Linked DNA regions of Mus musculus. Each later gene encodes a partner of the first gene's protein in a complex. Links are inferred from orthologs where the notes say so. Each region holds a gene or a part of one and is shown in the gene's direction. Other genes may lie near its edges.

Region 1 (3,647 bases):
GCAAGCAGCTCCTGAATCTTTCCTTGCACCCTCTTTCTCAGGCCCCCAGGATGGGGTCTGGGTTCAGGTGTCAGCAAGCTCCCAGGGAAGTTCAGTGCTGTTGATAAGAGACACCTCCTATGTCTTCAAGACAAAGAACTCAATGGAATATTATTCTCTAGCTCATTCTGGAGTCACACAAGAGTCCCCTGCGATTATTTGTCAGCACAATCCGGTCAACATGATCTGCCAACAAGGAGCCAACAGCCACATCTCCATTGCCAATTCAAACGCCATCCAGATTGGTCACGGGAATGTCATAGTAAGAGAGAAAGCCTGTGGTGAGCCAGGTAAGAGGAGGGTCCTGGCTGAGGGGGACTGAGAGGGGACCTGGTCCTCCAAGGAGAGAGCAACTGCCTCACCTCCTCAGGCATGCCTTAGGCACGGCCTTTCTCAGAGTGAGACCCAAGGACCACACCTCACCTGCACTCTCACTAATTTTGCTCCTTCTCAATGAGATCAAAACCTTTTGTATGAGAATAATTCGGCTCCCTCTCTCTCTCAGCAGGACACAGTGAGATGGTTACTGCAGTTCTCTGCTCTGAACACATTCCCGTCTCTCAAATTGTGTCATGAAAAGTTGGGGTCATCTTACACTCAGTGGCTTCTTATCTATATATCTATCTACTTACCTACATATATCTATCTATCTATCTACCTACCTACCTACCTATCTACTTGCCTAAATGTGTGTGTTTGTGTGACTTTGTGTATGAGTGTGTTTGTGTGTGCATGTATGTGTATGTTTGTGTGTGTGAGTTTGTGTCTTTGCATGTGCATGTATGTGTATGTTTGTGTGACTGTGTGAGTGTGTTTACTGGAGCCTACTCAGAAGCAGAAGATGTTGTCAGGTGTCCTGTTCTGTCACATCTCATCCATACAGCGTCTCTCACTGAACCTGGAGCAAGACTTGCAGACAGGAAGTTCCAGTGAACCTGTCTCAGTGTCCCTCAGCACTTGTGGTACAGTTGCACGCAGCCAGGCCTGGCTTTTACATGGGTGCTGGGATCCAACCCCAGGTCCTATGTTTGCAGGGCAATGCTCTTACCATTCCCAGCCAACCCCCAGCCTCAGCATCCTGGTTTTGATGCAAGTCGGTGCTGTTCAGGGAGTGTTTCCTCTGTAATTCGCATATGGCTTAGAGGGTGTGGGGCCACCTTACAATCTGTCCCTGTCAGCCACGCACAAGAGCATCATCAATTCCAAACGCAAAGTCTCTCCATGCCCTCAGAAGAAATCTGTTCTACTGTAGGCCCATTGCCCCATCATGACTCCCCTGGTTTTTATGGCCCTCCTTCCTGTCTGGCTATTTTACTTAGGAGTGTTAAAGGGCTCAACATTTTCAGATTCAAATGTGTTTGAAAGTTTCTGCGTTCCTTTAATTTGAAAATCATAAGAGAAAGACTAAAAACTGAGCACCCGAGAAATAAACACGGCCAGGACCCTTCTCAGGAGGGTTGGTGGACATATTCTCCCTTGGGGGCCTTTCCTTTGATGGGGTCAAAGGTTAAGGAGACCCAGCAGGCAGGTGTCCCAAAAGTACCTTGGGCCCCACTGAGAATGCAAATTGCCCAACTCCAGCTGCTTCAGGTGCTGAGCCTGTGAACAGATCGATCTGGAGTCTCTAGCAAATCTTTAATCTCCTTCCCTCCCAGGTCCCAGGACCTCTCACCCTCTACCCTTGGCATGGGACGCCTCTGCTCAGGACATGCCCCCTGTTGCCCACGGAGCTCAGTACATCTACATGGACAAGTCCTTGCTCCAACAAGTGCAGCTTGGCCACCACAACGAGATGAGCCTCGTGGGGGATGCAGGGAAGCACCCCTCTTATAGCTTTTCTGACAGCCCCCCAGGTATGGTGGCCTCTGTCACCCCACAATATTTAGAAAGAACCCAGAAGCCTGAGTTTTTGCCAGGAGAGAACCATGTGGCAAAACTCATTTCTGCCTTGAGAGGTATCGCTGAGGAGCGCCGAGGTTTTAGATCTGGCACTCGGGGTCCTCAGGCTCCCAGCACCCACGTGCAGTCAGTCAGCACCTACAAATAGGAAGGAGGCTGAGTGGGAGGAAGCCGGGTCATAGGGGTGGCGGAGGCCTGGATGGTGACCTAAGGAAATAAAGGAAGCCAGTAGCGAATTGTTATAACAGTGTCCCGATGACACAGTGACTTGAGAACCCTGCCAGAGGCCTGCCAGCAACTGTAGATTCTTAGATGATTGGAGGTTTCAGGGGGACTAACAGAGCCAGGGAGAAGTGTTTTCAGAGAGGAATTGGTCAGCGAGTCAGAGTGTAGCAGCGGGACAGGCAACCAGGGCTCTGCGGTCACCTTCCATGACAGTTTCTTAGAGTGGAGGGAACCTACATGTAGGGGGTTGGGAAAGCCGTGTATGGACATTTCCTGACTTTTGAGGGTGAAAGTGAAGTGGTGACAGCAGGGTTCAGGGGACACTGAGGTGAGGCTGGGGCTGGGAAAGAAAAGGTATGGACCATAGTAGGACTGCATGAAAAGGTATGGACCATAGTAGGGCTACATGAAAAGGTATGGACCATAGTAGGACTGCATGAAAAGGTATGGACCATAGTAGGACTACATGAAAAGATATGGACCATAGTAGGACTGCATGAAAAGGTATGAACCATAGTAGGACTACATGAAAAGATATGGACCATAGTAGGACTGCATGAAAAGGTATGGACCATAGTAGGACTACATGAAAAGATATGGACCATAGTAGGACTGCATGAAAAGGTATAAACCATAGTAGGACAGCATAAAAAGGTATGGACCATAGTAGGACAGCATGAAAAGGTATGGACCATAGTAGGACAGCATGTTCTTCATCTGCCAGCTGGGAACTGGCCACAGAGTAGATGGAAGGCTCCAGAGGTCCAGAAGAAGATGTTGAGATCAGAGTGGTTTTGCTAAGCTTGGGGCAGGGTGTGGGGATGGTGCTGGTTTCCAGTCCAGTGGGGACATGTTCCGGGACACGAGGTAGGGTGTCCAGGCAAAGTCTATGCGCCAGATCTGCAAGGTTACTGGTGAGAATGAGTCGTGAGGATGGGACCCCCAGGTTGGGTGCACATGCCAGGGCCCTCTGCAAACTGCCCGCTTCTCCTGGCTTCTCTCTTTGCTTTACTAGAAGTGTCAACCACCACTGCTGACCCAGGAGCTTCATTCAACATGCAAACATCTGAGCCAGGCCCTCACCCTGAGGGAGACACAGTCCAGACAGTCCACATCAAATCCTGCTTTCTAGAGGACGCCACCATTGGTAACGGCAACAAGATGACCATCCACCTTAGGTCAAAGGGTGAAGTCATGGAGTCTGGAGACAGTGAAGAGCCGAAGAAGGAAGACACAGGTGAGCCTGGGCATGGGTGTCTGTGTGTGCCCCAACCTCATTCATTCACCCTGGCTTCAAGCATCAAGGCAGTGGCCTGGTGTAAGGACACAAGGGTCTGGAACTCAGTGAGTTGACCAAAAGCCAGCATATAGATCCAGGCTGCAGGGAGGATGCAGGTATAGACACCAAGGTAATGAAGAGCCACAGAGGGGCTTTGCTCAGGACTTTGAAGGAAGCAGAGACCTTTTGGACTTGGAGTAAGATC
Region 2 (4,411 bases), on another chromosome or scaffold:
TGGAAGCTGTGTGAGGGCAGCCTGTCAATCAAGAGATCTGATTATGCAGAGCCCACCCTTTTTTGTGTGTTGATGTTGAAATCAAAGAAAACCAACCACCAGTAAGTGAGTGGGTGGTGTGCATTGGGCTGGGCTTGTCCCTTAGGCTATGAACTCCCTGGTAAAGCAGGAAATAACTTTTGTGGAGTTCCCTATATCTAAAATACCTCTGGTTGAGACCTCACAGCTGGAGGAGAAACTCTGCTGAGGCTTGTAAAAAGGAAACTGAAAACTAGCATTTGCTTGGGCAGAGCCTTAATATATAATTATTTTGCCCCAGCATCAGGGTTTAGGACTCAGCTATAGGGCCAGGACTAGCCAAGCTTCAAAGTGAAAGAAGATAGTTGAGAGTACTTTCTGCTTTCTGTCTCCCAAGACCTGATTTTCATGATTTTCATGTCCTACTACTCATAGTGAAAATCTTTGTGAGGCGGATGGTTTGAACTCTCAGGACATACACCAGTCCCTGAGTTGAGAACTAAGGCTGCTTTGGAGAGAAGAAAATCCCCTGAGGTAAGTAAGATATGTCAGAAGTTTTCTAGAGAAAGCTTTAGGACCATTTTGCTAATCAGTAAATTAAGAGGAAAGAGAGTCCTGGGTTTCTGAGGTTAGAAAGAGGGATTAGTATTGACTGTATTCTAGAAAAGAATAAGGCTGCAGGAAGCCTGGTTCTAAACCTTCAGTTGACTGAGGAACAGAAGTTATCTTTTATTGCACCACAACTGAGACCTTTACAAAAGAAAGTGCATTTGGCCGTGGCAGGAATTAGAATATATTGTTCAGAGGGTTGACCCAGACTGAGCCTAAAAGGAACTCTGATTTTCTGGGTGTGTTGGTCTGTAGGTGTTTTATTGACATGAATTTATATTTAGAAGAGGGCTTTTGATTTCTAGCTGAAGGGGGAAGAAACATAGGGGCCAGGGAGCTATTTCTCGATAAAAGGTGAGAATAATGGCATGACAGAAAGCCTGTGATGTAACGTTAGCTTGAAAGCATCAGAGCTCAAAATTCTAAGTAACCTTAATCTAAGAAGAAAATATCTAATAAAAAAAATGTGGGGAAAAAAAAACCCAGCATGGTAGTAACACAAAAGAACAATTAAAAAAAAATCAGACACGGAATCAAATAGAAAAAAAAAAAAAAAAAAAAGAAAGAAATGCCAAGCAGATAATGTTACTCCATAATCCCAAATGTTCAAGTGACATGGCATCTTTTAAAAATTATATGTGCTTTTAATCTCTATTTCCTTTACTTTATTAGGTAATAGCAAGTTTATTTCAGTCTAGTTCCAATTGGATCCTGCTTTCCCATTTCCATAGTTAAATCCCTGGAATTTGGGGGAAGGATCATTCCTATGGTATCTGTTGAGGTTTGAATATATGCCGGCTGGTGGCTCCGGAAGGTCTTGGGACTTTCACAAGGAGGAACTTACTGGAGAAACCTTATTGGAGGAAGTGGGTCACTGAGGGCGGCCTGTGAGAGGTGATAGGCGGTCTCACTTGTAACTCTGTTTCTTTGTCTGAGCAAGAATCACAACCTGCCTGCTTCCTGTCCTGCCTGCTTCCTGTCCTGTCTGCCGCCATGCTTCCTTAACTAGCTGCTAGGTTTTTTCCTTGTCGTGATGAAATCCACCCTCATGGACCTGTAAGTAAAATTAAAACCTACTTCTCCCCTATGTTGCTAATGTTCATGACATTTTATCAAAACAGAAAAGAAACTAATACAGCAAAATGCTGGGTCCTGTTTACATATCCAATTCTGTCTTTTGCGGGGAACTGAAAAGAGATATTAAGGAAAAGTGATTGCTAAGAGATATTTAAGGAAAAGTGATTGCTACTTCCTGTTATTTTTGTTGTTAGAGGTGGAATTATATCTGTGTGGCTATATTCTTTTAGTTTTTTTGAAAGATTACTTTCTTGCTTTTTTCTAGGGTGTAGTTTCCCTCTTGTGTTGGTGTTTTCCATCTATTATACTTTGTAGGGCCGGATTTATGAGAAAATATTGTGTAAATTTGGTTATGTCATGGAATATTTTGGTTTCTTCATCTATGGTAATTGAGATTTTTGCTGGGTATAGTAGCCTGGGCTGCCATGTGTATTCTCTTAGGGTCTATATGAAATCTACCCAGGATCTTCTGGCTTTCATAGTCTCTGTGGAGAAGTCTGGTGTAATTCTGATAGGTCTGACTTTATGTTACTTGACCTTTTTCCCTTACCACTTTTAATATTCTTTTTTTGTTTGGTGCATTTGGTGTTTTGATTATTATGACAGGAGGAATTTCTTTTCCGGTCCAGTTTGGAGTTCTGTAGACTTCTTGTATGTTCATGAGCATCTTTTTGTTTAGGTTAGGGGAGTTTTCTTCTATATTTTTGTTGAAAATCTTTACTGGCCCTTTAAGTTGGGAATCTTCGCTCTCTTCTATACCTATTATCCTTAGGTTTGATCTTCTCATTGTGTCCTGGATTTTCTGGATGTTTTGGGTTAAGAGCTTTTTGCATTTTCTTTGACTGTTTTGTCAATATTTTCTATGGTATCTTCTGCATCTGAGATTCTGTCTTCTATCTCTTGTATTCTGTTGGTGATGCTTGCATCTATGACTCTTGATCTCTTTTGTAGGTTTTCTAACTCCAGGGTTGTCTCCCTTTGTGATTTCTTTATTGTCTCTATTTCCATTTTTAGATCTTGGATGATTTTGTTCATTTCCTTTACCTGTTTGATTGTTTTTTCCTGTAATTCTTTAAGAGATTTTTGTGTTGCCTCTTTAAGTGCTTATAGCTGTTTACTGTGTTCTCCTGTATTAAATATTCATTAATGATATTTTTAGGGTATGAAAGGATATCAATATAAAAGTTGAACACATTTTTACAGACTATTTGATTCTCAAAATGCTCAATATTATTAATATGTTTGATGTATAAAATACATTTAAATATTAAAAATTGAAGAAAAAAAAGAAACTAATACAGTAACTACTCTTTGGAACTCAGTGATAACCTTTGTGCCCTTACCGAAAGTGTGGTAAGTATTTCTAAGTATCAGAACATAGTTGTTAATTATGTTGTTCAACTTTTCTACTTTTTTGCTTTTTGTTTTATTTTATTCTTGGCTATTTAAAGCGTTAGTTACTGAAGGAAATGTTTTGTAATTTCTGACCATCATGGTACATTTGCCATTTGTTAGTGGAGAACTGTCAAATTTTGTTTACAACTGTTGACTTTATTCAATGAGGTGCTTACTGTTTAGAATTGTTGGTTATATTACCTTGATGACTTTAACATTTAATTGTTGTATAGCAACTCTGTCCTTAATGGCACTATTTGTCTTATAGTCTTCTCTGACTAATATTGATAGAGCTGCTCTAACTAGAGTTTTTGTGCTTAGTGCCTGATACATATGTTCACGTATTTTTTGCTTTGCAGCTACTCAGCACTTCAATTTCCCCCACTGTGTCTTTTTTAAACACCACAGGCACCACAGTGGGTTTTATTCCAGTTTAGCATTCTTTTTAAACCCATGAGTCTAATTCATGTGCGTTCTGTCAGTTGAAATGTTTGAATCTTGTGTAACCATCTTATATCGCTTCATATGATATTTCCATGTTTGTTTTCTTCTTTTTAAAAATACACTTAAGATTATTCTTTACACAGAATGATGCATATTATGTTAGTCATGTTTTTAAAAGTCCCATTTATACATCTTGTGGGGAAACGCCATTTATCATTATCCCAGAATAATGCTTTCTGATGTACTTTTTGGTGAAACTGAATAACATCACATTTACTGCTTCAATAAGGTAAACTAGCATACAGCCAGTCACTGCAAAGTGAATAATCCATTGTGATTTAGTACATAGATAAGGCTGTATACCTTCCCTTAGATCTAGCTCCAAGATATAAGAATTACTCTTTCTATTTATCTCTGTAATTGTTTAAATGTTACCTCCTCAAATAGACATAGTCTGACGACCAACTTGAGTTACACTACACAGCCCCAGCCTGTACACTACACAGCTATACATACTTGTATTTGTTGTGGGGATAGTGAAGAAATCTTGCCTGATTCATGACTCATTTCCTCTAAGACTTACAAGATGCCTTACTGGACAAAACGAACTGATTGGTGAACAACAGCAGTTGATTTACTAGTTTATCCCTCAAGTGCATATCTTTTCCATTTTTATTTTCAAAAGGAGTTTTGGAAGTTTTTACACCATAGGGATAGCTGTTTAGTCACAGACAAGTGTATAGGGAGTGTAGAGCAAAGCACAGGATTTTTGGGATACTCCCATGAAGCAACTGCATAATCTGTGGTGGGGGCAGCCCATCCTGTGGCAATCATTCTCAGGAGAAGGCATGTTGGTACTGGCATGGTG

The links.
Region 2: Zbp1 (region 1) and Aim2 share a complex: the UniProt entries of both Homo sapiens proteins name them as parts of the AIM2 PANoptosome complex. The link is inferred for Mus musculus from reciprocal best matches to the Homo sapiens genes ZBP1 and AIM2.

What each region holds. Positions count from the first base shown.
Region 1 is NC_000068.7:173,208,781-173,212,427, reverse strand, and holds part of Zbp1 (Z-DNA-binding protein 1), read left to right. Parts: intron 1-161; coding exon 162-329; intron 330-1,694; coding exon 1,695-1,892; intron 1,893-3,178; coding exon 3,179-3,400; intron 3,401-3,647.
Region 2 is NC_000067.6:173,419,004-173,423,414, forward strand, and holds the start of Aim2 (interferon-inducible protein AIM2), read left to right. Parts: upstream 1-1,600; 5' UTR 1,601-1,683; intron 1,684-4,411. UniProt on the Homo sapiens protein: Sensor component of the AIM2 inflammasome, which mediates inflammasome activation in response to the presence of double-stranded DNA (dsDNA) in the cytosol, leading to subsequent pyroptosis.